Linked DNA regions of Macaca mulatta. The protein of the gene in region 5 purifies or fractionates together with the protein of the main gene of each other region. This does not show direct contact. Links are inferred from orthologs where the notes say so. Each region holds a gene or a part of one and is shown on either strand. Other genes may lie near its edges.

Region 1 (4,290 bases), on a different chromosome or scaffold from region 5:
TGATGGCAGAAAAACATCCTCTTCCCTGTAGTACCCAACTATCCATCATCAAGATGACAAACTACACAACGAGCCATGGCAGTGCCAAGGCCCTCACTTGTCAGCTGACAAACCACCCCTCACCCTCAATCACAGGCAGACAGAGGGGACTGGTAACAGAATTTATTCAAATGTGCCTTAATATAGGCGCTGGGGCTTGCCCATGGTGCTCTTGATATATAAGGCCCGGACATTCTGCCAGTTTTTCTTGAGCAATGACACCAAGAAGTTGACAGCCAGGTGAATGTTATACACAAGCTCATCGTCTGTCATCTTCACGTGACCAACAGCTACAGCCAGACATAACACCTGGGAGGACAGAAGAGAGGATCAAGTCAGGTTGGTGGAGGAATGGCAAATGGCCTGTCCCTCCCTCACTGGCCTAGTGAGCAGGTACTTGGACCCGGGCCAAGGAAGGACCAGGGTTACTCCAAAAATTTCAATCCTGGTGGGTGCTCTCACTGGCATATTTAGAGACTTGGGTAAGTTTTAGACCCCGCCAACACCTTCACCCACAGCAACCCACCAGACCCCCTCACCTTCTTCATTTGGAACTTGATTGTGGACTTCACCTCATCCACTTTGGCCACCATGTTTTCGTTGTGTGTGAGCAGGGAAGGGAACTTTCCTGCCTTATTTAGGCCTGGGCCGAGGATTCGTGGAATCTGCTTGATCAGAGACTCTGAGGCCAAAAACGCATCATACTTCTTGGCTGGTAAAGACAGGAAGCCATTGGCATTGCTTAGGACCTGGTCACCAAGGCACACCTCAAATGTGGCAGGCCAGAAACGCACTTGTATCAACCACGTGACATCCAAGCAGCACCCTCTCTACCCCCGCCTCAGTCTTTTCCCCCGCCTAAAAGGTTTCCAGAAAGTCCTCTGGACCTTCACTGGTCCCAAAACATGCTCTCAGAAAATCAGGCTGACCCATGATCCATGGCATAACCGCTGTACAACGGATGCCCCAGTCAAGACTGCCAGGGCTCAGGCCGGATGCGGTGGCTCACGCCTGTAATCCCAGCACTTTGGGTGGATCACGAGGTCAGGAGATTGAGACCATCCTGGCTAACACGGTGAAACCCCGTCTCTACTAAAACTACAAAAAAAAAATTAGCCAGGTGTAGTGGCAGGTGCCTGTAGTCCTAGCTACTCGGGAGGCTGAGGAGGGAGAATGGTGTGAACCCGGGAGGCGGAGCTTGCAGTGAGCCGAGATCGCACCAGCCCGTCTCAAAAAATAACTAAAAAAAAGACTGCCTTGGCTTGAATTGTGCCTATTTCTTAGCGGTGGACCCTGGACACGTGACAACTGGCAATGTCTGCTTCCTACCTGTGAAAGCAGTCTAATGCCACTGCCTAAACAACGCAGAATAAGATTTCCAAATCATACCTCACCAGCACCTGGCTGGGTCAACTTACAATACTTGGCCTTCCTCATCAACTGGAATCCTCATAGCAAATACAAACATCAAACCACCCCAAAGCTAAAACAGCACTCAGGCCAGCTAGGCAACCACCGCCGCATTTGCTAGTCTAGCCCCCTCATCATTAAAAATCGAAATGGCAGGAAAGCCTTTCTAGCGCCTCCACCCCACATCTCACATGCAAAACCACAGCGGCCGGACTCACCTAGTTTCTTGACCAGTTTTTTATTCTTGTTGAGTTTTTTCAGCGCCTCGATGTCCATGTGGGGGATATCCACGGCCTTGGCCTCGTCACAGTGCTGCTGGTCCCCCAGGACACACACAGAGAACTTGGGGCGGGGAGTGGACTTAAGCCTGCGTTTTGGGGGACAGCACCAACAGGTTATGCCTAGCCCTGGGTCCCGAGGGCCGGTGAAGGGTGTGGGACCGCAGCAGCCACCGAGCCTTACCCGGAGCGTTCACATTCACCAGCAGCCAGCCTGGCTTGTCAGGCTGGCCGGCGGGCTCGGCCAAGGCCTCCCCACGCCTCCCCTCATGTTTTAAGACCCAGGGTGGGGGTCCGTCCAGCCGCGCCTGCCCGGAGCAGGGGGTCTGAACTACCCTAACACATCAGTACCGACGTGCCCGCCTCCGGCTCAGCGGGAGCCTGCAGGGGAGGGGCAGGCACGGGGGCACTGAGGGCTGGGTGGGATCAGAACGGTGCCAACCTGACGGTGCCTGAGAAGCGCTTGTCCTTCTGGGGGTCATAGTTCTTCAAGCTGATCTGCAACTCCACCGTCTCCAGGAACCTTCGAGAGAGGAGGGGGATTAAGCGTTAAGCACACGCCGGCCCTCACCACCCGCGCCCTGCCCCAGGGTCGGCACTCACTTGCGGCGCTTGCGCTGGTTCCCGTGCAGGACTTCCCGCACCGCCTCGTACAGGGTGTCGCGAGAGACTTTGCTGCTGCGTGAGAGAAGCGACAGCGCGCTCAGGGCCGCGGAGTCCACACGCTCAGACTGCTCAGAAGCCTCCGAGGCTCCAAGCTTCGAGACGGGCGGGCGGCCCACGGCGGACTCCCCAGTAGATTCCGGACACCAAGTAGAGCGACGGGAGCCCAGACCCAGACCCAAACCCCGGTGGAAGAGGGAGCCTCTCGGTGATCGGACCTGGTAGGAAGGGCGACCCGCAGGCCGACCCGCCTTGAGAAATGCCCCGCGGCGAAGGTGGCGCAAGGGCCCGCAGTTCGGTCTGCAGGAGCCGCATCCTTGGCGGGGCACCTGGAGGCGCGGATGAACGCAGATAGGGCTTTCAGGACCACTTACCTCATGGCTTCTCACGCCGCGCTAACCGGAAAAGAGACTAGTACAGTTTGCGCATGCGCTCTAATAGTGGCCCGATCTCGCGAGAATGCGTCGTTACTCGGTCCTACCCACACAGAGGTTGGGTGGGCCAACCCCGAGAAGCGCGGACTTCTCCGGCCGCTGGGAGTCGCTGGGCCGCTAGGCCGGCGCGGGAACCCACGGAGTTGTCGCAGCCCTGAGCGCCCCGCGGCCGCCGGTAATGTGCCGATTCGCGCCCGCTGTTGCTGGGCCCCTAGGGAAGCAGCTGCGTTCGGGGCTCGAGCTTCGGTAGGCACACATACTGGTACAGCCCAGTGATGTTCACTGACAGCGTGGATTCCGACATGCTTGTCCCTCAAACCCCTTTCCCCTCGCGCCCTCCGCATCAGCTTATGTTCTCAAAAGCAAGCCTTGTTCCTCGGCCAGACCTCCCTCCCTCAGCACCTTGCTCTAACGTGGACTCGTGGTAAGGGAAGCTTCCGGAAAGTTCTGTTCCTGGCCTCTCAGCGCCTGCAGAGGGAAGAGCTGGCAAAGTCCTAAAGTGAACTTTTACTTGATAATTTGATAACATCTACGTTTTAAGTGTGACTAGTATGAATAAGGCGTCTAGCCAGGTGCTACAGGAATACAAAGATGTAAAACAGGCACACAGCACAGCACACCCATTAAGGTGTCTTCTCTGCTCTTTCCTCTGTCCAGTGGGTCTCATCCTCTTAGCCCACTGTAACCCGAAGAGCCCTTCAGATCTCTCCTAGGGTTCATCTGCCCAAAACCCTTCCCTAACTCCAGACTGAGTCACTCCCACCTTTATGTTCATTCCCACCTATCCCCCTGCCTGGTGGGGGCAGCTCCTGTAGGATAGGGTGAGTGGTATTACACATTATTTGGCCCTTAGAAAGTGAGTAAGATACCCTTCACCCTTCCCCTCACCAGGAAAAATATGTTCCTTGTCACTGAGCAGGGAGGTGGAGGGGGTGGGGATGGGTTCAATACCCAGAATTCACAGGAAGGAAAGTACTGCTTCTAATAAGACATTAGTCAGGCGTGCTGGCTCACGCCTGTAATCCCAGCACTTTGGGAGGCAGGCGGATCACCTGAAGTCAAGAGTTTGAGACCAGCCTGGCCAATGTGGTGAAACCCCGTCTCTACTAAAAATACAAAAATGAGCAGGGTATGGTGGCAGGAGCTTGTAATCGCAGCTACTCAGGAGGCCAAGGCAGGAGAATCGCTTGAACTGGGGAGGTGGAGGTTGCAGTGAGCCGAGGTCACGCCACTGCACTCCAGCCTGGTGACAGAGTGAGACTCTGCCTCAAAAAAAAAAAAAAGAAAAAGACATTATTGAACTTGCTTTTTATTCAATACCATTGATAAATTCAAGTCAGAAACAAAAGCACAGAAGGTCATAACATACACGAGCACAAGAGCTTCATCTGAGCACACTGGTACCCTAGACCTCCTGGAGCATCCCATGTCCACTCTGGGTCGGCTTGACCCTACTGAGCCCTGTT
Region 2 (3,500 bases), on a different chromosome or scaffold from region 5:
AGCTGGGATTACAGGCATGTGCCACCATGCCTGGCTAATTTTTGTGTTTTTAGTAGAGACGGGGTTTTACCATGTTGTCCAGGCTGGTCTCAAACTCCTGACCTCATGATCTACCTCAGCCTCCCTAAGTGCCGTGGGATTACAGGCATGAGCCACCACCGCCCTTTCCTATGCTTAGATGCACAAATACTTACTATTGTATTTCAGATGCTTACAGTATTCAGTACAGTAACATACTGTACAGGTTTGTAGCCTAGGTGTGTGTAGTAGGCTATACCATCTAGGTTTGTTAGTATAAGCACATTCTTATGATTGTACCAAGATGAAATTGTCTAACAACACATTTCTCAGAACCTAGCCCTGTGGTTAAGTGACGCATGGCTGCATATAACATTTAGTGGTGGGGGGGTGTAAAATAGGTGGAACTCAAAGTTGAAGTGGTATTTTTTTTTTGTTCACAGGTCAGTTTAGGGGCTGGTGCAAAGGATGAATTGCACATTGTTGAAGCAGAGGCAATGAATTACGAAGGCAGTCCAATTAAAGTAACACTGGCAACTTTGAAAATGTCTGTACAGCCAACGGTAAGGGCACTTGTATACTTTGGATGTTGTGTCAAGGTTTAATTCTGTTTTAAGGTAGGTTTGGTGTCATTTCGTTGTGCCAAAGAGATAGAAAGTGGTTCTTTATCTTCTGTCACTGGAGTTCAATGGTCAGCTCTTGAACATGGGGGTTTCTGCTGCTAGTTTATCAGAGGTGGAAAAAAGGTTCACTGGTTTGTGGTTTTTTTTTTTTTTTTTTTTTGAGATGGAGTCTCGCTGTGTTGCCCGGGCTGGAGTGCAGTGGCCGGATCTCAGCTCACTGCAAGCTCCGCCTCCTGGGTTTTTACACCATTCTCCTGCCTCAGCCTCCCGAGTAGCTGGGACTACAGGCGCCTGCCACCTCGCCCAGCTAGTTTTTTGTATTTTTAGTAGAGACGGGGTTTCACCGTGTTAGCCAGGGTGGTCTCGATCTCCTGACCTCGTGATCCGCCAGTCTCGGCCTCCCAAAGTGCTGGGATTACAGGCTTGAGCCACCGCGCCCGACCAGGTTCACTGGTTTGTTGATTTGGCTTATGTGTTTGCTTGTAATGTTTATTGTACATTTTCTTCATATGTTTAGTGATTAAAAATTTCTTCCTTCTAGGTTTCCCTTGGGGGCTTTGAAATAACACCACCAGTGGTCTTAAGGTTGAAGTGTGGTTCAGGGCCAGTGCATATTAGTGGACAGCACTTAGTAGGTATGTTATTTTTATGTATTATACTACTTAGTTTATTCTTTTTAATGCAGTTGCTTGGTTCCCAGTTTGGACTTAAAGCATGGGTATAGTACTACTGTCTTTAAAATAGATTCCAGTGTGAGTCTAGAAATTTATAATTGGAGAGGACAAATAAATTTTTGGAGTGGGGGGACAAAATCTTGATCTGTCACCCAGGGTAGAGTACAGTGGCACGATCTTGGCTCACTGGAACCTCTCCCTCCGGGATTCAAGGGATCCTCCTGTCTCGGCCTCCCCAGTAGCTGGGACCACAGGCGTGTGCCACCAAGCCTAGTTGTGTTTTATAGTTTTAGTAGAGAAGGGGTTTCGTGAAGTTGGCCAGCCTGATCTTAAACTCCTGGCCTTAACGTGTTCTGCACGCCCTGGCCTCTCAAAGTGCTAGTACTACATGCGTCAGCCACTGTGCCTGGCCTAAAATTTTTTTTTTAATAAAGACAGTCTCATTCTAAGGCTGGAGTGCAGTGATCGTAGCTTGTTACAGCCTTGAACTACTGGGTTCACATCAGCCTCTGGACTAGCTAGAACTACAGGCACACTCCACCACGCCTGGCTAATTTTTTTTGTATATGTGCAGATGGAGTCTCACTGTGTTGCCCAGATTGGTCTCTTGGCTTCAAGTGGTCCACCTTGGCCTCCCCAAAGTGAGATTACAGGCATGAGCCACCCTGCTCAGGCTTCTTGCATTTAAAACCTGGCAGTGAACGTTAGGCCTCAGAATACCTTTGTTAAAAAGTTCCTTTTCCCATTTGCTCTTTTTTTAAAAAAATAGAATAGAAATCTCAGTTTTTAGAATATTTACTGTATGCTATCAGTGTTCTTTTTTTTTCTGATTTCTTTGCTGCTTGAGTTTTATAATGTCTAATAAATTGCATTTTAGCTGTGGAGGAAGATGCAGAGTCAGAAGATGAAGAGGAGGAGGATGTGAAACTCTTAAGTATATCTGGAAAGCGGTCTGCCCCTGGAGGTGGTAGCAAGGTTCCACAGGTAGAGATGGCAATTTTATTATAGGTTTTGTATTACAGATTTTAGTTTGGTGATAGAACAGCTCTTGTTCATGAGTATGTGCCTTTTCTTTTAAAAGAAAAAAGTAAAACTTGCTGCTGATGAAGATGATGATGATGATGATGAAGATGATGATGATGAAGAGTAAGTATGATCTTAGAAATTTGATACACTTCTGAAATCTTAACAGAGAAAAAGGAATTTGACATTGTTATATGCATGAGGATTTTATAAAAGTCATTTATGAAAAGCCATCCTGTGTAATAGTTTATAATAAAAGGGCAAGTGGTCATCTGTTGTCAGTTTAAGTTAAATGAGCTGAATTGAAAGGATATTGGGTCATGAGCCTTTACAGTGCTGTGACTTGGTGACTCTTCAGAAGGGTAGGCTATAGCATTTGCAAAGTTTGATTATGTCCCTTTGTTTTAAAGATTTAGTGGATGTTATACCCATCAAGCCTGGTATGTATTATGGTGAAGTTAATTAGATTGGGTTGAAAGAAAATCTGACTAAAGGCCGGGCGCGGTGGCTCAAGCCTGTAATCCCAGCACTTTGGGAGGCCGAGACGGGCGGATCACGAGGTCAGGAGATCGAGACCATCCTGGCTAACACGGTGAAACCCCGTCTCTACTAAAAATACAAAAAAAATTAGCCGGGCGATGTGGCGGGCGCCTGTACTCCCAGCTACTCGGGAGGCTGAGGCAGGAGAATGGCATGAACCCGGGAGGCGGGGCTTGCAGTGAGCTGAGATCCAGCCACTGCACTCCAGCCTGGGCAACAAAGCCAGACTCCGTCTCAAAAAAAAAAAAAAGAAAAGAAAATCTGACTAAATAGCTCTATATTCATTTTACAAATTGTTACTGAAGGTTTGTTATTCCCCAAAAGGATTTTGGCTTGTGCTTTTATGTAGATACTTAATGGACAAAAATAAGATCCTAAAAGGGATATTAAGATTTTTCTTGGGATTTAAAATATGATTGGAAACATTAATTTTTTTTTATATTAAACTGGATCAAACTTGGTATAAACAGTTACATGCACACTGGTATAAAGTACTGTTTATAATTGGTTTTATGTGTGCAAGTATCAGTAATACATTAAATACTTGGCTCTCAGCTTTGTTCTTCAGTTCTGAGATTGGTCCATATGCATTTATGGAAAACACATTAAATAAAATATAAGA
Region 3 (3,981 bases), on a different chromosome or scaffold from region 5:
ACACAGAGGACATGCAGATTTAGCAGTATTGATATTATACTCTATCTTGTTGGATTTAAAGACACCCTGTACCCACATGTACACCAACAGCAGGTCACACATTAACAGTTGTAACTAAGCACTGTGACAAATTAGCCAGTTCTTCCCACATTAGTCCCTATTAAAACAAAAATGGGGGGAAGGGAGCAAAATAAGTTGCTACAAAATGGGCAATATAATTTTGCCACAATTGCCAAGGTTTAAAGAGCAAAGCAATTGTAGCTAAAGATAACTGAATAAAATGTTTGCAAGTGTTTTAAGGAAAACGTATATAATCATTTTTAACCCCTGCCTTTTAGTATAAGGTCAATACTGCCAATTTCATCTGTGACAATAGCACTTGGAGTCATACCATTGCCTCCATTATTGATCTGATCCTCCTCAATCCTCCTTTTGACAATCCTAAAATGATTGAAATGTGCTCCACAATCCTTAATCCAAAGCATTCTTAATCCATCTCTTCAGATATGTCTACAGAAAGACACATGAAAAGCAAGATAAACATAAGAACTTCCCCAGGTAAGATAACCACAAACACCCCCAACATCCCAGTTCACACAAACCAGGGCAGAATAGACATTTACACAATATCACAGTCTGAAGAGTATGGAGTTAACTAAATTTAAACAATCCTGTCTATGACATCACTTAAAATACAATTTATCGAAGACACGAGGGGAATGTAGATGTTAGGAGCAAGGGGATATTACAAGAATGCAATTCAACACTTTAGCCCATTCTGAACAAAACAGTTTGAATTAAAAAATGAAAAGATTGTACTGAATAAAGGAAAACTGTATACAACATGGGTTCTACAAAAAGTGTCACCAATCATCTTATGTACGAGAGCGAGATCTGCTATGACGGGGAGAATAGCGTGGTGATCCTCTGCTTCTCCTTGGGGAGTAACTGCGACTCCTGCTGTTGCTTCTGCTACGGCTTCTGCTACGACTACGGCTTCGAGATCGAGATCTTCCATAACTTGGACTTCTGGGCCCATCAACTTTAACCCGGATGTAGGCAGTTTCTCCCTATTGGATAGACAGAACTTTCCATTGAAAGATCTAAGCTTTCATCTATCTTCAGGCATGCTGAATGCATACAATGCAACTACAACCAGAAATCTGGCAATTTACTTGGACACCCTTGCCTGAATTCTTACCTTCAAATTCCACTGTTAAGACCACTGTATCCAATTCTGGTCAAAGAAAAGAATAAGCGTATAACCTACCTCATGAGATCTAAACTTAGTGTTATCCAGTTTTCGAACTGCATAGGTCATATCTTCTTTCCGTACAAACTCCACGACACCAGTGCCATCTCGGTAAACATCAGCATAACATACATCACCTGCTTCACGCATGTGATCCTTTAAATCCTGCCAACTTCCACTTGGAGGCAGTCCTGAAAAAGTGATTTTTTTTCTTAGTATCAATTATCTTAAATTTCACGTTAAGCTGGTAAGGTACATTAGAACAAAGAGTACTTTAAAATACTTAATAGGTGTACTTAAGTGATACCAGGTAAAGAGCTGGTAAGATTCTGGGATCCAGAGTCCAAAATTATTTGTAACGGATCTTCGTATCTAGTACCGCAACCTAATTTGGTAAATCACCACAGCAGCAATCCTCGTTTATTAAATTCACCCAAAAACTAAAGCAATTTAAGACCTAGCATGAAAAATTTGCAATTGTTAAACCGATCATGCAAGACAAAAATTTTAGGTAGCTTCCGTCCCTTCACATCAATCCACACAACCAAGTACACTCACCAGAGACAACCACTCTGTTTTCAGACCGCCTGGATGGGGGGCCATAGCGACCTCGGGGAGCTCCGCCACCTCCACCCCCGCCGCCGCCTCGGCCTGTTCCACGGCCGCTTCGAGGAAACTCCACCCGCAGACGGTACCCATCGTAATCATAGCCGTCGCGACCATACACCGCGTCTTCCGCGTCTCTGCGGGATCGCAGAAAGTAAAAGGCATGAGAAAGACCAGGAGGAGAAGCTCGCTCAGTCGGGAACCCCCCGCACATGCGCACCCAACGTGGAAGAGCCCACATGCGCCGCATAATAGGAATGGCCCCTCCCCCACCCAGAAACACGCCAGGCTCCCAACCACTACACCAGCCCTCAGCGCCTCAGTTTCCCGCTCCAGCCTGCGAATGGGCTCCGGGGACGTCCAAGGCGAGGCGCCAGAGAAGCCACACCAACTCAGCTCCTTACTCGACTCCTGCATGGGCGATACAGTCTCGCCCCAACCTCTCTAAGAGCCCCCGCTTCCCCGTTCTCTATGTTAAGGCCTTGGAGCCTTCCCCGACTACTCGGACCTATTTCCTCAAGGCTGCAAGCCCCATGCCGCCTCACCGCGGGTCCTCGAACTCAACGAAGGCGAAGGGCGGTCCCCCGCGGCGATTCTTGAGGTCGATGTCGCGGATAGCGCCGTATTTGTAGAACACGTCCTCAATGTCCTTGGTTCGGATGTCTGGAGGTAAGTTACCCACGTAGATGCGGCAATCGTTGTTCCCTGCGGGGCCACGAATCACACCACCTCCCGACATGGCGGTGACGAAAAGCGCGGACTCGAGAACAGGCCTTCCCACCAAGCCTAGCGCACCGCAGAGCGAGCCCGCAGCGGCACCACGTCTCCCGCGGCCCCTCCAAAATGGCGCCTTTATCAGCTCGGCGCACGGATATGGGGGGGAGACAGAGGAAGAGAAGCGGAAGGAAACAGCGATTCGATCCCAACACGCACGCGCGGGAGCGCAACGGGTGCTGCGAGGGATACGCGCAACGCACGCGCACGCACGCGCGACGTCACCCTCCGCACGAAGGGGGAAAAAAAGTCCCCCGCGTTCCCCGCTTGGGGTGGTTTGCGAATAGAGTGAGCAGCCGTTTGGTAAAAGTTAAATAAAGAACTCTCGTTAAAGGAGCTAGTCATCCAGGTCGAGTCTTGAAGGATAGTCAATTTCCCCAGGAATGAGGAGCTTTGAAAGCAACTCGGCGCCTTCAAAGGACTTGGTGAAACCTAGCCTAAAGCCTTGTCCCACCATGCTCTGCGGCGATAACGGCCTTTGGCGGGAAAGAGACTCGGAGGCGGGGCTAAAGGGGGAGGGCTCGGGCCGTTGCTCCGGAAACCCGGGTATCTTCGTAGAGTGCGTCTAGTCCAGAGCTGAGTTGCCGGTGACTGAATAGAGAGCTGGGGCGTTGGTTTGTCTTCCCGCCCCTGCTGCGAACAAGCTGTGGCTGCTTAGACAGATGTGTCTAATTTAGCGAAACCGGTTTAGATTCCTTAATCCTTTTCATTAAGAACCATTCCACCTTCTCGTCAGAACTTTGCATAGCTCAGTTCAGCACTCTTTGTGCTAGTCGCAGTGGGCCCGTACCCCGACCTTTCAACGTGGTACCCGCCAACCAGAAGGGGTAACAGTACTGCTTCTGGTACCCACACCTCTTTATCTCTTGTTAATCGCCTATCCGTGGGACTAGCGCAGATTGCCTGCAGAATGAATTGTTTCTGTTGTTTCCTTTTAAAGAACGAGAAGGAAGAAAAGGTGCGTGTGTGCAGTCCTTTTTTCAAAAGTTTCCTCTAAAAGTTACTGAAATTGAAAATACCGGTCCTCCCAGGTAATAAAATGGACCGAAATGGATGAGAGCCGTGTCCACTAGAGACCGCGGTTGCTATTCAGGACTGTGATCTTATTTGCCTGCGACATTGGGAGATAACATTTTACATTTTTTTTCGACGTCTGCAATCTGGATTTTTATGTGAAATCCTGGGATTTTTAAACGTCGCTAATGAATTCAAATTAAAATTAGGCTGGGCGCGGTGGCTCACGCCAGCACTTTGGGAGGTAGAGGCGGCAGATCACTTGAGGTCAGGAGTTCGAGACCAGCCTGGCCAACATGGTGAAATCCCGTCTCTACTGAAAAAAAAAAAATTAG
Region 4 (4,133 bases), on a different chromosome or scaffold from region 5:
GACCGATTCTCTCAATACTTTGTAAGAACATACACGTACTCCATAAACAAGTACAGTAATATTCACAATGACTCAACACAACATTATTTACCGGGAGCGACTTTTTGAGATACTTCGAGATCTACTGCGGCTGCTCCTGCGACTCCTACTTCGTGACCGTCTTCTAGATCGAGACCTATTAGGAGAAAAACAATGAAGTCTTAATCTCAATCCATCTTAAATACACCTGTGCCATCTGGCAAAAATAGATAAGCCAAAGAATAATGTTTTTCTTTACTACGAAATTAAATACACCTTCAAAACATCCAGAAAAAAACCCAATGATGCACAGCCAAAACAAACTAAAAGCTGGCTTTAATTCAAGTAGGCAACAATTGAAATTACTCCATTACTTCCCTTTTTTATTGTCAAATATTCTGTTTCCTCCCCACAGTGTCCTTCAACAAGTTACCTGGATCTGCTTCCAGAGTAAGATCGCCTATGGCTTGTGCGTGGCTTATCTTCAATAAGCCTAATATTTCTGCCATTTATTTCTGTGCCATCCAGTTTGTCCAAAGCACGCTTCATGTCAGAGTAGGAGCGAAACTCAATTACACCCTCATTTGTTCGTTCCTTGTGGGCATCCGCATAGGTTACTTCACCTGCTTGTCGCATAAAATCCTGAAATGATAAGATTGGTCAGACTCGGAAATCTTAAAAGATCTATATACTATAATAAATTCCCAGAAATAAGAATGTAAATAAGAGTTTACTTTAAAGCATTAGTCGTATCTTTTGTATCTTGAATTATAGCACATACCTTTAAATCTTGCCAACTGCACCGACTAGAAAGATTTTCTACAATAAGCCTGTATTCTGTACGAACAGGTGGTCCGTATTTGTCTCTGCCAGATGTTCTCCGACTGCTGTATCCACCTCCACCACCTTTATCACATGAAGGGAACAATTAGATGCCTTGTAATGATAAAAACGCATAATGTCTTTGAAAGTTAGTACAAACATATCAACTTTTATTTACTGGAGTAGGACTTTGCTATTATATTGCTAAACCTTCGACACATTTGTGATTTGCCATAAAATTAAATTAAGGGCAAGTCAAATAGACTAAATCCAACTAAACCTCTCCTACAATCTGTTAGAGAGTGACTGCTCCTTTATTCGATTTACCTCGCTAAGTTTTATTTTACAGAACATTGTAAAATATAAAACTTAACTGATTACATGCATTTCTACATTTTACAAAAATGTTTACTAGTTTTACACTAAGTACTTACATCACAGTGTGAGGTTTTTGGTGGTGGTTTGGCCACAAAACACGCAAGGTAACAGTCACCTAGTTCAGATTAACCAGTTTTGTCTAACCCTTGGAATCCTCACCATCACCCTGCGTCTAATGGCAAAAGGCTGCTGTCGTCATGGCTTCCGGTAAGGTCAGCCAAAGGGTCATAGGGCAAGGGTCACACAATGTATGGAAAAGCCAAGGCCAATCAGGAAAGGCAGTCATCTTAGCCTCAGTGGACACAGCCTCAGCCCCATTGGTCACTTTCAAATTGAAACATCAAGGACTTGTTAAAAAGTTTGAATTCAACATGCAACAATTTAAACATCAAACATTTAACATAACCAAAAATCCCCCCAACCTCCTCCCAGTAACATGCCCCAGTTAGTTCAAATACAGCATAAAGCTTATTTAGATCTACTTTGTGGTACAATACCACATTACTTAAAAATAGTACATTCTTCGGCCCCCATCAAGTTCCATAACTTTAAGACCTATACTTTAAGCTCCTCCCTTCCCCGTCCCCCGCCCCCCTACCCCACCTCCACCCCAGCCTGCCCCCGAACCTCTAACTAATGCACTGATAGGTAAGTAAGGAGAATACAACAAATACAGCCACTCCTTACTTCCTCTGTGGTTAGAACCTGTGACAGTGCTGACAAGGGGCCAGAAGAAGCCACCCCCCGCCCAACTTCGCAAATAAAACCAAACACCCAAACCCAATCCCCGCGCTCCGGCGTCCCATGGCTGCCCCGGGCAGACATGAAGGCAGCGGGGCTCGGGGACACCCGAGTCAAACGACCCCCAGCCCTCGCGCCTGCCCGGGCTGGGAGGCCCCAACCCACCCACCCCCGCCCGCCCCCAGGGTCCCCAAGGGCGCGGAGCGCGCGGGGGTGGGACTCACTGCGGCTTCCGTAGCTGTAGCCGTCGCGATCGCGACGCGGGCCCCTGGCGTGCTCTACGATCACGCGCTCGCCGCAGAGCTCCTTGCCGTTCAGCTCGTAAACGGCGTCGTCGGCGTCGCGGGAGTCCTCGAACTCCACGAAGCCGTACCTGGGGGCGGTGCCAGGGCCGGACAACGGCGGGGGCGTCGTTAGCCAGGGCGCGCCCGTGCGCGCGCCCGCACCCCTCAGCGCGCCCCCGCGACGCCGCGCCGTCGCCATCTTGGAGGCCCTGCCACGCGGCGCCGCGGCCTTGGCCGCCTTTTTCCTTGGAGAGTTCCCGCCGCCACCAGGCCTGGGACGCTGGGCGCGGGCGCCCAGGCTCGACTCACCCATTTTTGAGGTCTACTTCGAGGAGGCGGCCATAGCCACTGAAAAAGCGCTGGATGTCCTTCTCCCGGACGTTGTAGCTCAGGCGTCCTATGTAGACGCGCGGCATGTCCGTGGCGGGCGGGGGCCCAAGGGCTGGTTGTCGAACGGCGGACCGCAAGCCAGTAGCCGCGGTGCGGGTGCGGGGACGGCAAGAGCCCGAACACGCGCCTCACACCACAGCGGCGGCCGAGTCCAGCCACACAATGATGCGCGCGCGCGCCAGGCTTACGCTATATGGGCGGCCAGTGGGGCGGGGCCTGGCGCGTGACGTCAGCGCGCAGCGGCACGTCCGTCCCCAGTCGGCCCTGGGCTAAATGGTGACTGGCGAGTCAGCTGCCCGCGACGTTTCGGTGTAGTGCGGTCTTGCTCGCTTCTAGGATTTTTCTCCAGCCCTCCCCACCGTCTTTGAAAACACAGTGTCTCTAATGCAGCCGCAGAATTGTTTTCTAATTTGTACCTTTTATAAAACTGCGCGATCGATCTCTTTGGGGTTGAAGCTCGGGAGGCGGGCTGAGAGAATCCCCGTTTTTCATTGGTTCTCGAGGTGGTTATAATGGGTCGCCGCGGTCTCTGATTGGTGGGTTAAAACGAGGCTGCCTGTTTCCCCCAGCGATTGGTTGGTGCTCGTTTTGGTGGGGACCGCGCTCTCGGACCCAGTCGCTGGTCCGGTTTCGCAGAATCCGAGGATCACGCGCTGAGGTCTTGCTGACCGGGCGGGGGTCGCGTTGCGAACTTGCAGAGCCGCCATCAGCTTCTCCAAGTCTCACTCGCAGCCTTCTTCAGTCTTGGCCTCCCCGGACGTTCCCCTCTCCCTCCATGGGTCTTTCTTGGAGCCCTGTCAACTTGACTCACTTGTGGATTGGGGTGTCCGTGGGAATCCTACGCTCACTGTAGGTGCTCAAAAGGGAGCGCGGAGGAGACCCCGCAGCCCTCCTACAGCGATGAACAATTTTTTTTCTCCCGTATATAGAAAGTCCTTTGTCCCAATACTATCATTTCTTCCATTGACTTGAAAGTGCCTTATTTTGTGAGTTTATCAAGGGAGATGCTATTTAAAGCTGGAGAACCAGATGAAAACCTGTGGTTTAAGTTTAGGTGGGGAGCAGAAGACCCAGGCCAACGCCTGGGGTACTCTGAAATTTAAGTACAGGAAAGGAGACTGACGGGAAGGAGTGACTAGGGAGGTAGGGAGAAGACCAGGAGAGTAGGGTGTCACCGAAGCGAAAAAAAAAAAAAAAAAGGGAAGGGATATCACTGAGATAACATCAGCTCTTTAGATATTTTTGTATACCTGCTCTGAGTGGTGCAACCTGAATATCCTTCAGCTCCCGGTTGAAAAAGGGGGGTTTTGTCCTCCTGGAGCTATTTGGAAGTCTGGAGGGAAACGTTGTTGTTGTCACGACTGGGGGAGGTAGAGGCCATGCTTAAAGTTAGATAAACAAAAAATACGAGTCTGTAATCCCCACACCTTGGGAAGCCGAAGCAAGAGGATCTCTTGAGCCCAGGAGTTGAAGGCTGCAGTGAGCTACCACCATGCCACT
Region 5 (3,998 bases):
AAGTAAAATAAATCGGATGAGTCCTTTCCTGTTTGGCGAGGAATGCTACACTATGGGGGACTGTTTCAAACTGGCAGTCTTTGCTGGAAACCTCGCCTCCGCGGTTCGCCTTCCTTCGCTCGGATTCAGGCGCTTTTATGTTAAGGGTTGAATTTTTGTGTCAACAGGCACCTCGGGAGGTCGCCCACATAACTGAGCGGAGCAACTGAGATAACCCCCCGCTACGTGTGGAGTGACCTAGTCCATTAGCTTGCCCCGGCACGCCCGCTGAGTCCGCAAAATATAGGATGTTCTTGGGTTTTAGATGAACCCAAAGCTAAGATTTCTTCCCTCTCTGGAGTTAGCAAGCAGCCCGCCCTGCCCAACTCCCCTGGAAGCGCGCGTGCTCTCCAGGCTTCGGGACGCCGGCGCGGGTGCCCCAGCACTGGCACTAGGGCTCCAGAGTAAGGGGCGCGCCGACCTGCCCGAGCCTCTGCAGGCGCTGGCGGAAGGTGAGCCCTTCACCCGCTCAACAGGCCCCAGTGCCGGCCTTTCCTTCCAGTCTTAACTCCACCCGGGGACCCGGGGGCTCCACAGTTAAAAACTCCGTGCCACGGAGATCGCAGGTGAGCTGCTGGCTCAACGGGGTGTGCTAAATGGGATTAAAGATCCTAGACTGTGGCCAGGCGCGGTGGTTCAATCCCTTAATCCCAGTGCTCAGGGAGGCCGAGGCGGGAGGATTGCTTAAGCCCAGGAGTTTGAGACCAGCCTGGACAACATAGCGAGACCCCATCTCTACAAAAATAAAAAGTAGTGGGGCGTGATAGCGCGCGCCTGTAGTCTCAGCTACTTGGGTGGTCGACATGGGAGGATCGCTTGAGTCTGGGTGGTCGAGGCTGCAGTGAGCCAAGATCACCGCCAAGATCGCGCCCCTGCACTCCAGCCTGGGCGACAGAGGGAGACCCTGTCTCAAAAACAAAAAATCCTAGACCGTTTACAAACAGCCGTCCGTCTCTTCCTGGCCAAGTCCTAACCCTGGCTAACCTCGCCGTGTACAGCCTGAATTTTGGCAACCGAAAGGCAGAGCCGGCGCCACTCGCACAAGAGATGGGCCGCTCCGCCCGCTGCCAGGGCCACGGCCGCGCTCACTCCCAGAGCGCGCTGCGAGCCGCGGCGCCTTTGTGACGCCATCAACCCGCGCGCCGTCGCCGCCTTCTGTGCAGTCGAGGCCCTGGCGGACGGCTGCTGGCTGCTCCGCGGCGCTCGGCTGGCGGCAGCTGCACCGCGGGTTGCGCGGCCGGGGATGCTCCAGCGGGCGCGATGGCCCCCGCCATGCAGCCGGCCGAGATCCAGTTTGCCCAGCGGCTGGCGTCCAGCGAGAAGGGCATTCGGGACCGGGCGGTGAAGAAGCTGCGCCAGTACATCAGCGTGAAGACGCAGAGGGAGACAGGTGGGCGCACGGCGGCGGTCAGCCGCGCCACATGGCGGGCCGGGGGCCGGGGCTGGGGCCAGGGCCCTGGCACGGAACGCGGCTTCCACGTGTTGTCGTGACACCCAGCGTGTGCTTAGGTTTCCGCGCTGCCAGAACCGCTTCTTGCTGTGTCTAGTGCCTTTTTACACTTGAGGAAACGGGTTGAGGGTGTTCCGTTACTTGTGAAAGTCACAGTAAGCGGGAAAGCTGAGAAAAGACCCACATGGGTCCGATTCCCCAGCCGGCATCTCGAATCACTGGGCTGCCCTCATTTGCCCTGGTGTCCGGTCGGTGATTGCCGCCTTTCTTTGACCAGCACCTTTACGTGCCGGGGCTGGAGGAGAGAAGACAGAAGCACTACTCTCGAGGATTTGTTAGTAATAAAGCAAGGAGGCAAACAGGCAAATAAAGTAGACCTTGTGTAAGTGTAGTAAAGGAAATGAAAACCAGGTAGTAGGCCGGGCGCGGTGTCTCACGCATGTAATCCCAGCACTTTGGGAAGCCGAGGCGGGCGGATGACCGGAGGTCGGGAGTTCGAGACCAGCCTGGCCAATCCAACATGGTGAAACCCCGACTCTACTAAAAATACAAAATTAGCCGGGCATGGTGGCGCATGCCTGTAATCTCAGTACTCGAGAGGCTGAGGCAGGAGAATCGCTTGAACCTGGGAGGCGGACGTTGCGGTGAGCCGAGATCGCACGATTGCACTCCAACCTGGGCAACAAGAGCGAAACTACGTCTCAAAAAAAGAAAGAAAGAGAGAAAGAAAGAAAACCAGGTAATAGCAAGAAGTGAAGGAGGTTGCTCTTCTTGATAGACTGTTCTGGGAAGGCCTCTCGGGTGATGTTCAGCTGAAATCTGAAGAGAGATGAGCGGAAAGCGCCTATGCAGAGGCAGGAAAGAGCTTCACGTGCCCTAGGAGTGGTTTGAAAGACCAATTAAGTTGTGGGTGGGCGGGGAGAGTGTGATGAGATGAAGTTGGAGATTGTAGGCAGTGGCCAGATCACACAGGGCTTTGTAGTGTAGATTTTAACGGCACTGCTGTTGAATGATTTCATTTACCTGATCCAAGAATATTTTCTGTAAACTCTTGAGTGAGCCCATACGATATGAACTACAATGTGTGACAGAGGTTTTAAGATAAAGTTTGATTTAGTTACTGATGGTACTAATACATTTAGAATCTGCTTAAAAGAACAGATATTATCTCCCCCATTACTGACATTCTCAGTTTGTTTTAAGAAAAATCACCAGACTACCCAAAAAAAGAAAATAAACTTTCCTGGGAAGTCTGGTAGAAAAAGGAATGAAGACCAAAATTCCTGACTTTGATTCTGTTAGGGATGTCCCTAAGAGATTTTGTTTACTCTCACAGTTCCAGGTAGTCCATATATGCTGGGGGTTTCTAAACCTAAATTGTTGACCCAGCCCTTTCCTACTTGCAACTGGGATGTGCCTTGCTAGCCTGGCTTCTCTACCTGGCACCTCACACTCAGGATGCCAAAAAACGTCATATTTTCTTTCCCCGAAAGCCTGTTGTCTGCTGCTGCTCCTCTACCACCTGTTTTCTCTTCTTTTGGTTGCTAGTTCCCACCAGCCATTCGGATTCCAGCTGGACGCAGGGGATTGTCCTGGACTCCTCTGTCTTCCTCATCCTCTTCCCCTGGCCCACATCCAGTGTCCCTCAGTCCTCCCTCCTTCGCCTCCTGATGAAATAAATTCTCTGACTGTGGGCCCTTTGCATCTCACCCAAACTTCTGCACCTGCATATTCCCTAACTGGTCTCCTTAACTTCATTTGTGTCCCCCCGAATCTGTCCTCCACAGACCAGCCCAGGGTCATCTTCCTAAAACAAATCTGATCCCACATCACCAATATTTTTTGAAATTCAGTGTCTGCAAGTCATGATCTGTCCTCAGGTGCTCTTCCTCCCTAAGCCCCATGTGACTGCTTCATGTTCTGTCAACAGAACCAGTCATGGATCTTGGTGTATAGCACACAATTTCTCACCTCTCTGCCTTTGCTTCTCCTGTTCACTCTGCAAAGAATCCCACACCTTCTTCACTCCCAGCATTCAGTTCAGTATCACTTCCTTCAAAAAGCCTCCCCTAGCATCTCGCCCTACTCCTCCAGGGTCTAAAACATCCATTGTGTCTCTGTTGTAGCACTTAGCTACATTGCTGCTTAATTATCAATGTGCCATTCTACTCCCAAAACAGTGTAAGCTTCCATCTGTTTTCTTAGCCAGAAGTGGGAGTACATGCAGCCATGAAAGGTCTTGGCCTATACAAAAGTAGAAGACAAGAAGCAATACTTATGGTGCTAAAACAGCCTAGACAGAGCCTTTTGCTCAAACCCTTTGGTGAGCCAGCCCAGGATTTGCAGATGCTGAGGTTACGCAGGGGGCCTAAGACCAGTTTACACCAGTGCTCCAGAGTCCTGTCTGGTTAGTGCCTGTCACACCCAGAGTTTCTTGTCTTGTACGTCTTGTTCACCACCACATGGCATGGAGTACACTGGGCCTTCAAAAAATAACTCTGCAGCGTGA
Region 6 (4,065 bases), on a different chromosome or scaffold from region 5:
TTTCACCCAGGTTGTGGTACAGAGGCATCATCATAGCTCACTGCAGCCTTTAACTCCAAAACAGGAATTCTGCACTTTGCCTATCTCACAAGAGCAAATTAATTTATATAAAGACAGTTTAGGGCCAGGTGCAGTGGTTCATGCCTGTAATCCCAGCACTCTGGGAGGCCAAGGCATGAGGATTGTTTGAGGCCAGCAGTTACAGGCAAGCATGGGCAATATAGCAAGACCCTTTCTCTATTGAAAAACTTTAAAAATTAGGCTGGGCATGGTGGCTCACGCCTGTAATCTCAGGACTTTGGGAGGCCAATGAGGGCGAATCACAAGGTCAGGAGGAGACCACCCTGGCTTAATACAGTGAAATCTCGTCTCTATTAAAAATACAAAAAAAATTAGCCACGCATGGTCATGCACCTGTAGTCCCAGCTACTTGGGAGGCTGAGGCAGGAGAGTTGCTTGAACCCGGGAGGCAGGGGTTGCAGTGAGCTGAGATCGCGCCACTGCACTCCAGCCTGGGCGACACAGCAAGACTGTCTCAAAAAAAAAAAAAAAAAATTTAAATTAGCCAGACGTAGCGGCACACACCTATACTCCTAGCTACTTAGAAGGCTGAGGTGGGAGGATTGCTTGAGCCCTGGAATTCAAGGCTGCAGTTAGCTATAATCATGCCACTGCACTCTAGTTTGGGTGACAGTAAGACTGTCTCTACAAAAAATAAAAGGGCAGGACGCGGTGGCTCATGCCTATAATCCCAGCACTTTGGGAGGCCGAGGTGGGCGATCGGATCACCTGAGGTTGGGAGTTTAAGACCAGCCTGACCAATGGAGAACAAGCCTGGGCAACGAAAGCAAAATTCGATCTCAAAAAAAAATAACAAATAATAAATAAAATAAAAGAGACACTTTATGAAACAAAAAGTTATAAAAACTCAGTCTATCACCCTTGTGTAAAAAAGATGTACTTAATTTAAAATAAAATAAATAAGTTACAAGAATATGGAAGGAGTGACACCTCAGAACCAAGTAAGACAGATGACTGTGGCTCCTATTTGAACTTTCTGACCCCCTACAACTTTTCATACTATTTAAAGCAATTAGACACATGTTGTAGCCTCCTTAGAAACCTATTCTGGCAGAGCCCCAGAACAATCTTGGAAATACATATTACACTGAATTCTGCCTCCTGGAAACGTCAGGCCTGGTCTCTGTTCTCAAATCATAGATTAAAAATAATCTCCTTGCCAACAAAAAACAAGCTAGTCTCCTTCCAAAATTTTATTCGTTTTCATCCCTTGGTTCCACCAAATAAGACCAAGTTTCCCATCCTGGTGGTCTCTTTTGGAATATAACAGAGTTTGGTCATGTATCTCTGGATTTGAGCATGCCAAATTGAAAGCAACTGACTGATGCGATGTAAACCAGGACCACTACTTCTTGCACCTGAGTACAAATCTGCCGCGGCTTCCTACGATTCTAAAATATTGCTATTGTAAGAGCTCCATATCAAAAGGCAGGGAAACAAACAAGTAAAGTTCATTCTAAGTAGTGTACAACCTAAGTCCAAGAACAATCTTTCTTCCCACTGACTTATCTCAGAACAGAGACTCAGTCACAAGTTAAATCACTAGGAAGCAACAGCAAAGCAAGGGACGGCTGTCAAGGTTAAGACTACTGCACACTGCTGGCCTATATAAAAAAACATGGTGTACACTCAGCACCGCAACACATGCCTTTACATTTCCATGGGAAATCTAGTCAATATAATACTAAGAAGAACTGAGTTACGTCATCTTCTCAGGGCGGCTTACCGGAAAACAAACTGTACTTCCCTTACTAGAGTTTAAAAAGTCACTAAAGACGCCGCCCACGTGCGCAGATGAGGTTAAGGTATCTCCAGTCTACTCTAAAGCTCCAGTCCCCACTTTTTTTTTTTGAGACGGAGTTTCGCTGTTGCCCAGGTTGACTTGCAGTGGCGCGATCTCGGCTCACCACAACCTCCGCTTCCCGGGTTCACGCAATTCTCCGGCCTCAGCCTCCCGCGTAGCTGGGACTACTGGCGTGAGCCACCATGCCCGGCTAATTTTTGTATTTTTAGTCGAGACGGGGTTTCACTATGTTGGCCAGCCTGGTCTCGAACTCCTGACCTCATGATCCGCCCGCCTCGGCCTCCCAAAGTGTTGGAATTACAGGCATGAGCCACCGCACCCTGCCTCCAGTCCCCACTTTGACTTGACTTGTAATTCCCTTCGCGCACGCTCAAGCCGGGAGTTATGTCTCAGCCAGCAACGTGGAGCCTGACTGAATGTCCAACTCTGCGCACTGTGTGAGGCGCGCCCAGTCGCCGGGGACCACGTGGGACACCCGGCCTTCTCCCGAGCTCCAATAGGGCCTCTCTACCAGAGTTCCTGGAACAATGTGGATGCCTCTAATCTCAGAGGAAGAGGTCAGCGCGCGGCGGCCCCGGCTTGGTCGGGCAGACGCATCCACTGCCTGGGAGCGCACCACTGCTGGACGACCGCCCGTCAAGACCCACGCCGGGTCTCTGGACGCGCTGTTACCCGCCGCGCGCTCTCACGATCCCAGCCCGGGCACCTCTCCCGCACCCCGGGGTTCCGCTCCACTCAGCGTCCCTCCTGGCCCCAGGTCCCTCCGTTTCACCTTCTCGGTTTGTTTTCGCAGTGTCTCCCCTTTTTTCATTGCGGTGTCTGATTCCAAACCAGCGTCACTACGGAGTTTTCCCGGCATCTTCAGCGCAGGCTGCCCAGGTCAACCAGTCTTCTCAACCGCGTGGAGAGGAAGAGGTAGTTCCCCCTCCTCTGTCCACCCGGCTCTCGTCACTTCCCGTAGCAAGGCACTTCCGGGGAAAGCAGGAAGCACAGGAAAGACTGCTCTCCGCGAAGTAAATTCAAAGCAACGGCCTGTGACTGTGGCTAAATTTAGTGCATTGACTGACCACTGGCGGCCTTTGGTCTAGAAGGCACCTATGGAACGGTAAAACCGCAAGGAATTACAAAGGTTAGCTTTGTATTCTCCAACACTGGCCAGATTTTCCCTAGCCCCAGCCTGAAAAATGAAGGCTTCTAGTTGCTTTTGAGTGGAGCATCTTCAGTGCTTTATGTTATATTGTTCGAGTTTGCACGTGCAGACTCGCGGATGTGTATTTTTTTTTTTTTTTTTTTTGAGACGGAGTCTCGCTCTGTCGCCCAGGCTGGAGTGCAGTGGCGCGATCTCGGCTCACTGCAAGCTCCGCCTCCCGGGTTCACGCCATTCTCCTGCCTCAGCCTCCCGAGTAGCTGGGACTACAGGCGCCCACAACCGCGCCCGGCTAATTTTTTTTGTATTTTTAGTAGAGACGGGGTTTCACCGTGGTCTCGATCTCCTGACCTTGTGATCCGCCCGCCTCTGCCTCCCAAAGTGCTGGGATTACAGGCGTGAGCCACCGCGCCCGGCGCGGATGTGTATTCTTTTTTTTTTTTTTTTTTTTGAGACGGAGTCTCACGCTGTTGCCCAGGCTGGAGTGCAGTGGCGTGATCTCGGCTCACTGCAAGCTCCGCCTCCCGGGTTCCCGCCATTCTCCTGCCTCAGCCTCCTGAGTAGCTGGGACTACAGGCGCCCGCCACCGCGCCCGGCTAATTTTTTGTATTTTTAGTAGAGACGGGGTTTCACTGTGGTCTCGATCTCCTGACCTTGTGATCCGCCCGCCTCGGCCTCCCAAAGTGCTGGGATTACAGGCTTGAGCCACCGCGCCCGGCCTGCGGATGTGTATTCTTAATCATCTCTTGGAAACGTCTACTCTGAAAGTGTCGGCCAGACTCAGGAGCCTGAAGGAAAAAAAAATTCAGTCGGTTCTAGTCGGTCATTCATGCGTGCACTCAAACATTTTATGAGCGTTCACTGTGTCAGGTAGGACAAACAGGGCTAGGATTCACTAGCAGACACAAAAGCCTTATCCTCAAGAAGCTTTATAGACTAGCGGGAGAGAGAGAAGTCTTGTGGTTTGAGACAAGAGTCTCCTTCTCTGTCACCCAGGCTAGAGAGTGCCATGGCGCGACCTGGGCTCACTGCA
Region 7 (4,107 bases), on a different chromosome or scaffold from region 5:
TTCCTCATCGTCATCATCCTCATCCTCATCATCTTCATCATCCTCATCATCCTCATCCTCTGAGGCAGGGGCAGCAGCTGCTGCTTTCATCACTGCTGGTTCAATTTCATCTTCATCCTCATCTTCGTCCTCATCATCCTCATCATCTTCCTCACTGTCATCCTCCTCCTCTTCATCACTGTCTTCCTTCTTGGCATTCTTACCATTCTTTGCCCCCTTGGCTGGGATGGCAGCACCCTTCTTACCAGGGGTTGCTACCAATGCTTTGCCTGGTGTGGCTCCCTTCTTGCCAGGTGTGGCAACTGCTTTGGCTGGTGTAACTGTCTTCTTGGCAGGTGTTGCTGCTGCCTTTTTGCCTGGAGTGACAGCTGCTTTCTTGGCTGGTGTGGCAACTGCAACCTTTTTTGTTGGGGAAACTACCACCTTCTTTGCTGAGGTTGCAGCAGCCTTCTTGCCTTTCTTCTGAGGTATGACAACCTTGAGAATAAATGAAAACCAAACCAGTAAGTCCAGCCCCACACCCAAAAAGATAACCATGGTCCCAGTGAGTGTTAGATTCTGCCAATGCTTCTGGTTCAAGACCACATGCGCTAGACACATGTTAGCATGTTAAACTCCAGGCTTCTGTTATGTTGTCTTAGGTCAGAGCCCTTATTATCAGGTGAATACCCAGCCATAAGGAACCCTTTTGAACACTTAAAATACCTCTGAACCAGACCTCTGAATTCTTGCACCTCATATTTTCCCAAACCCCAACTTTCTCATCTGAAAATGGTAATAGTATCATATTACACGTATAACAATAATGAAGTGCTATGCGTAAATTATTCAGAACCTTACACCTAGGAGGCTCCAAGCATTAACGTATTAAATCATTTGGGGCTCCTATGGTGGATGGCAGTACTGAGTCCAGTGAAGCTCAATTCTTGGGACCTGAGATAAAATGAAGATCAAATAGGCTAAACCTAACTATCCCTTACAAAACTATCACACATCAAAGAGTGAGCATGTTAGTTTGATAAAAGCCATCGTTTAGCTACATGAAAATCCCATAGTTTTATTAGGCAATGTGTGGAAGAATAAAACTTTTATTCAATTCTCAACGAAAAACCTGAGCACAATTCAGTGCTCAGATGTCTTTACAGTGAGCAAATAAAAGGCCAAGACTGCCAAAGAGTAAAGAGGGTCAATGTTAACACAAAGAGGTGGCAGCCCTCAGTCTACACCAAAGATAACTATAACGCAGTGAGTAGAATTACAAAGTTTATATATAATGGAATGGAGACCAATTAATCTTAATTGGAGGCTAGGAAAGGAATCTGGGAAGGTTATCCTCAGATCTGAATACAATGCCCAGCTCTACATGTCGGGGTGAGGCTAACATGTTGAAACTGGAAAAATTTAATGATTTAACACAACAAATCACACTCCTTGCCCTGCAGAGGCACATGGAAAGGAGATCCCCAGACCTCTTGTCTCAAACTCACATTCAAATACTTAGCCAAATGACACCTTGACATGTCAGTGAAGAGCTTGTGAAACCACCACTACAATAGGACATACCTGGATGAATAAAATCTTATTTTAGCCACAGACATCCAATTTCATGTCTTAACTCTCCATTGTTGTAGTTTTAACACAATTCTGCATTAAGCTAGATAAAATTACCTCTTCTCCACTGCTATCATCTTCTTCATCTTCTGACATTTCTTCATCTTCACTATCTTCTTCTACCTCCTTTGGAGGAGGAGCCATTTTCTTGGGGTCACCTTGATTTTTACCTGCCTAAAATGGACACAAGTAGGTCATTACACCTCCACCTCAACATTTCAGGCCATTCATATTTTGCCATTACTGTTCATAGTAAAACGCCATCATCTCTCCTTTCTCAGATCCATTTCTCATAGTGCCAAACAGCACAACATCAAAACGAGTCCTGATGGCAATGCAAGATGGACTACTCTCAACCGCCCACAATTTTCCTCCCGGGCTTCACAAACAGAAAACCCGCCCGAAGGTAAGAAGTAACTACCTTGGTTTTCTCATGAACATTATGCTTTTCCCAGCAAGACAACCCCGCCCCTTAAAGAGGCGGCGCGGCCACGTGGGGGTACCTGGTAGGCCACCACGTGCCCGAAACACGGCGCAAAAGGCACGCGGCAGAGCCACCTTCCGGGGCCCACCACGTGTCGGCTTGCCAGGCCAGGACTCCGACTAGGGCCGATACCGCCATTTCCTGGCGCAAGGCACCGGTGCCTCTGGAGATTCCAGGACCTACGCGGCGCGGCCCACGTGGCAGGCCGCGCTCCCGGGCACGTGCGTCAGGAGTCGGGTCCCGACTCGTATGCGTCGCAGGAGTTTGGTCTCATCTCCCCACCCCGGGGCCCAGCGCCCCCTCCCCGCGCTCAGTGACTCCGTCTTTCCCGCCGCGTTCGCCGCCCCCAGCACCTGCAGAAGCTCTTCACCTCGCCACCAACTAGCCAGAAGCCGCGAGACCTCCCCACTAATCGCGCGAGACTTCCCGCAGCATGGCGCCCTAGAACGCGCCCGGGACTGCGCGCAGGCCCTCCTCCCCGCGCCGCCGCGCTCGCCCCTCGGAGAGCAGGCCTAGACGTCTGCGCTCGCGCTCAAGGCCGTTTACCTTCGCGAGCTTCACCATGATGGCGGCTTATGGCGGCGGAGTGTGGAGCGGAGAAGTGGCGCAGATGAGTCCAGAGGAAGGCAAGCGACGGCGATGGCGGCCGCGGGTGCTGAAGATCCCGGAGCACGTACACTCGAAGGCCAGCGAGAGCTCGAGACTGAGGCGAAAGACTGAGCCTGCCCAGTAATCGCCTGTGGAAAGGCGACGACGGCGCCCTCGTGACTCCGTGCCGACCAACCAGAGCTCGCGGCAGTCCCCCTGAGCCAATCGCGAGCCTCTAACCGAGAACGGCGCGGGGCGGGGAGTGGGCGGGCCGAGGCGGCCACGGGAGGGGGAGGGGCTGGCAGCCGTGCCGTCGGGGCGGGGCTCGCTTTGTGCAAGGCCGGCGCTGATTGGGCCGTGGGCGCGCGGGTCCCGGCCTGCGCCGTGGGACTGGCGTTTTTGGCGCCGGCTGTGAGGGGACTTCGGGGGTGGTGGAATCGGGCGGTCTAGGGATCTCCAATGTGGCTGGCTCCCTAGGCTCGGGCAGCCTTGGAGTTCCTCAAAGACCCCGCGCGCGGCCCCGGCACGCACTCACGCCGGCGCTCCCGGTGGCCCTGGAGAAAGAAGCCCGCCAGCCCCGGAAGTTCAGGGACCGCGGAGTTCCCGTTGGCCCTTTCGGAGGCACAGCTCAGCCCTGCTTGCCCGCGAGCATGGGACTGGAGACACCCCCGGCTGCAGGCAGTCTTCTGAGAGCCGTTAAAGGCAGTCGCGGGTCTGTGCGAGGTTTTTCTGTGAGAAATGCACGAACCTCCCCTACCCCACAGAACCTCAGGCGGGAGATATTTCTCGTCATGGGGAACGGCCTCGGAGAAGTAACTTTCTGGCCTCACAGGGCAAGGAGAGGGGCCTGGGCGGGCCGACCGCAAAGCCGGGCCTTTGACCGCCCACAGGTTCCCTGGTTGTTATTTGCGTCGAATGCGCCAATTAAGGTGGTGGCTGCTAAGTCAGTGTCACCAGATGGCTCGGGAGCAGGTCGAGAGCCACCGGCAGGGTTCCCCGGCGGCAGGGCGAAGGAGGCCGGAGTGACTTCCACGGTTAGCTTTGAGGGTGGGCCTCCCTCGATGCCGGGCTTAGCAAACCAGAGCATTTCCCTCCGTCCAGGGCCTGCCTGGGATCCATCCAATCCATGGGTCCAGGTATGGATCCATCCATACCTCATTGTTCCTACAGAACCAGGATACCTGCAGCTACGGCGGTACTTGTTAAAAATCACCTCAGGCGGGGCGCGGTGGCTCAGGCCCGCAGTCCCAGCACTTTGGGAGACCGAGGCGCATGAACCGGGGAGTCGGGGATTGCAGTGAGCCGACATCGCGCCACTGCACTCCAGCCTGGGCGACAGAGCGAGACTCCGTCTCAGAAAGAAAGAAAAGTGTTTGTTAAGGCCAGGCGCGATGGCTTATGCCTGTAATCCCAGTACTTTGGGA

What was found.
Region 1: the proteins of RRP1B (region 5) and RPL10A purify together in Homo sapiens (affinity purification with mass spectrometry; 3 studies listed by BioGRID and IntAct, with this or other methods). This does not show direct contact. The link is inferred for Macaca mulatta from reciprocal best matches to the Homo sapiens genes RRP1B and RPL10A.
Region 2: the proteins of RRP1B (region 5) and NPM1 purify together in Homo sapiens (co-immunoprecipitation; 3 studies listed by BioGRID and IntAct, with this or other methods). This does not show direct contact. The link is inferred for Macaca mulatta from reciprocal best matches to the Homo sapiens genes RRP1B and NPM1.
Region 3: the proteins of RRP1B (region 5) and SRSF1 purify together in Homo sapiens (co-immunoprecipitation; 3 studies listed by BioGRID and IntAct, with this or other methods). This does not show direct contact. The link is inferred for Macaca mulatta from reciprocal best matches to the Homo sapiens genes RRP1B and SRSF1.
Region 4: the proteins of RRP1B (region 5) and SRSF6 purify together in Homo sapiens (affinity purification with mass spectrometry; 3 studies listed by BioGRID and IntAct, with this or other methods). This does not show direct contact. The link is inferred for Macaca mulatta from reciprocal best matches to the Homo sapiens genes RRP1B and SRSF6.
Region 6: the proteins of RRP1B (region 5) and DDX21 purify together in Homo sapiens (affinity purification with mass spectrometry; 3 studies listed by BioGRID and IntAct, with this or other methods). This does not show direct contact. The link is inferred for Macaca mulatta from reciprocal best matches to the Homo sapiens genes RRP1B and DDX21.
Region 7: the proteins of RRP1B (region 5) and NCL purify together in Homo sapiens (affinity purification with mass spectrometry; 3 studies listed by BioGRID and IntAct, with this or other methods). This does not show direct contact. The link is inferred for Macaca mulatta from reciprocal best matches to the Homo sapiens genes RRP1B and NCL.

The regions. Positions count from the first base shown.
Region 1 is NC_133409.1:146,806,661-146,810,950, forward strand, and holds RPL10A (large ribosomal subunit protein uL1), read right to left. Parts: upstream 2,801-4,290; 5' UTR 2,770-2,800; coding exon 2,765-2,769; intron 2,406-2,764; coding exon 2,331-2,405; intron 2,251-2,330; coding exon 2,170-2,250; intron 1,817-2,169; coding exon 1,668-1,816; intron 752-1,667; coding exon 579-751; intron 349-578; coding exon 178-348; 3' UTR 148-177; downstream 1-147.
Region 2 is NC_133411.1:180,249,569-180,253,068, forward strand, and holds part of NPM1 (nucleophosmin), read left to right. Parts: intron 1-461; coding exon 462-581; intron 582-1,182; coding exon 1,183-1,276; intron 1,277-2,192; coding exon 2,193-2,299; intron 2,300-2,396; coding exon 2,397-2,461; intron 2,462-3,500. UniProt on the Homo sapiens protein: Involved in diverse cellular processes such as ribosome biogenesis, centrosome duplication, protein chaperoning, histone assembly, cell proliferation, and regulation of tumor suppressors p53/TP53 and ARF.
Region 3 is NC_133421.1:51,982,380-51,986,360, reverse strand, and holds the start of SRSF1 (serine/arginine-rich splicing factor 1), read right to left. Parts: upstream 2,801-3,981; 5' UTR 2,598-2,800; coding exon 2,404-2,597; intron 1,996-2,403; coding exon 1,811-1,995; intron 1,444-1,810; coding exon 1,271-1,443; intron 1,088-1,270; exon of another isoform or gene 1,071-1,087; coding exon 876-1,070; 3' UTR 511-875; coding exon of another isoform or gene 472-510; 3' UTR 1-471. UniProt on the Homo sapiens protein: Plays a role in preventing exon skipping, ensuring the accuracy of splicing and regulating alternative splicing.
Region 4 is NC_133415.1:96,305,114-96,309,246, reverse strand, and holds the start of SRSF6 (serine/arginine-rich splicing factor 6), read right to left. Parts: upstream 2,801-4,133; 5' UTR 2,660-2,800; coding exon 2,553-2,659; intron 2,333-2,552; coding exon 2,184-2,332; intron 925-2,183; coding exon 800-924; intron 661-799; coding exon 452-660; intron 176-451; coding exon 92-175; intron 1-91. UniProt on the Homo sapiens protein: Plays a role in constitutive splicing and modulates the selection of alternative splice sites. Plays a role in the alternative splicing of MAPT/Tau exon 10. Binds to alternative exons of TNC pre-mRNA and promotes the expression of alternatively spliced TNC.
Region 5 is NC_133408.1:3,879,960-3,883,957, reverse strand, and holds the start of RRP1B (ribosomal RNA processing protein 1 homolog B), read left to right. Parts: upstream 1-1,198; 5' UTR 1,199-1,299; coding exon 1,300-1,429; intron 1,430-3,998. Other genes in the region: HSF2BP (heat shock factor 2-binding protein), read right to left, coding at 1,024-1,170. UniProt on the Homo sapiens protein: Positively regulates DNA damage-induced apoptosis by acting as a transcriptional coactivator of proapoptotic target genes of the transcriptional activator E2F1.
Region 6 is NC_133414.1:80,682,259-80,686,323, forward strand, and holds the start of DDX21 (nucleolar RNA helicase 2), read right to left. Parts: upstream 2,801-4,065; 5' UTR 2,745-2,800; coding exon 2,658-2,744; intron 1-2,657.
Region 7 is NC_133417.1:136,720,199-136,724,305, forward strand, and holds the start of NCL (nucleolin), read right to left. Parts: upstream 2,801-4,107; 5' UTR 2,660-2,800; coding exon 2,642-2,659; exon of another isoform or gene 2,449-2,641; intron 1,786-2,448; coding exon 1,669-1,785; intron 478-1,668; coding exon 1-477. UniProt on the Homo sapiens protein: Nucleolin is the major nucleolar protein of growing eukaryotic cells. It is found associated with intranucleolar chromatin and pre-ribosomal particles. It induces chromatin decondensation by binding to histone H1.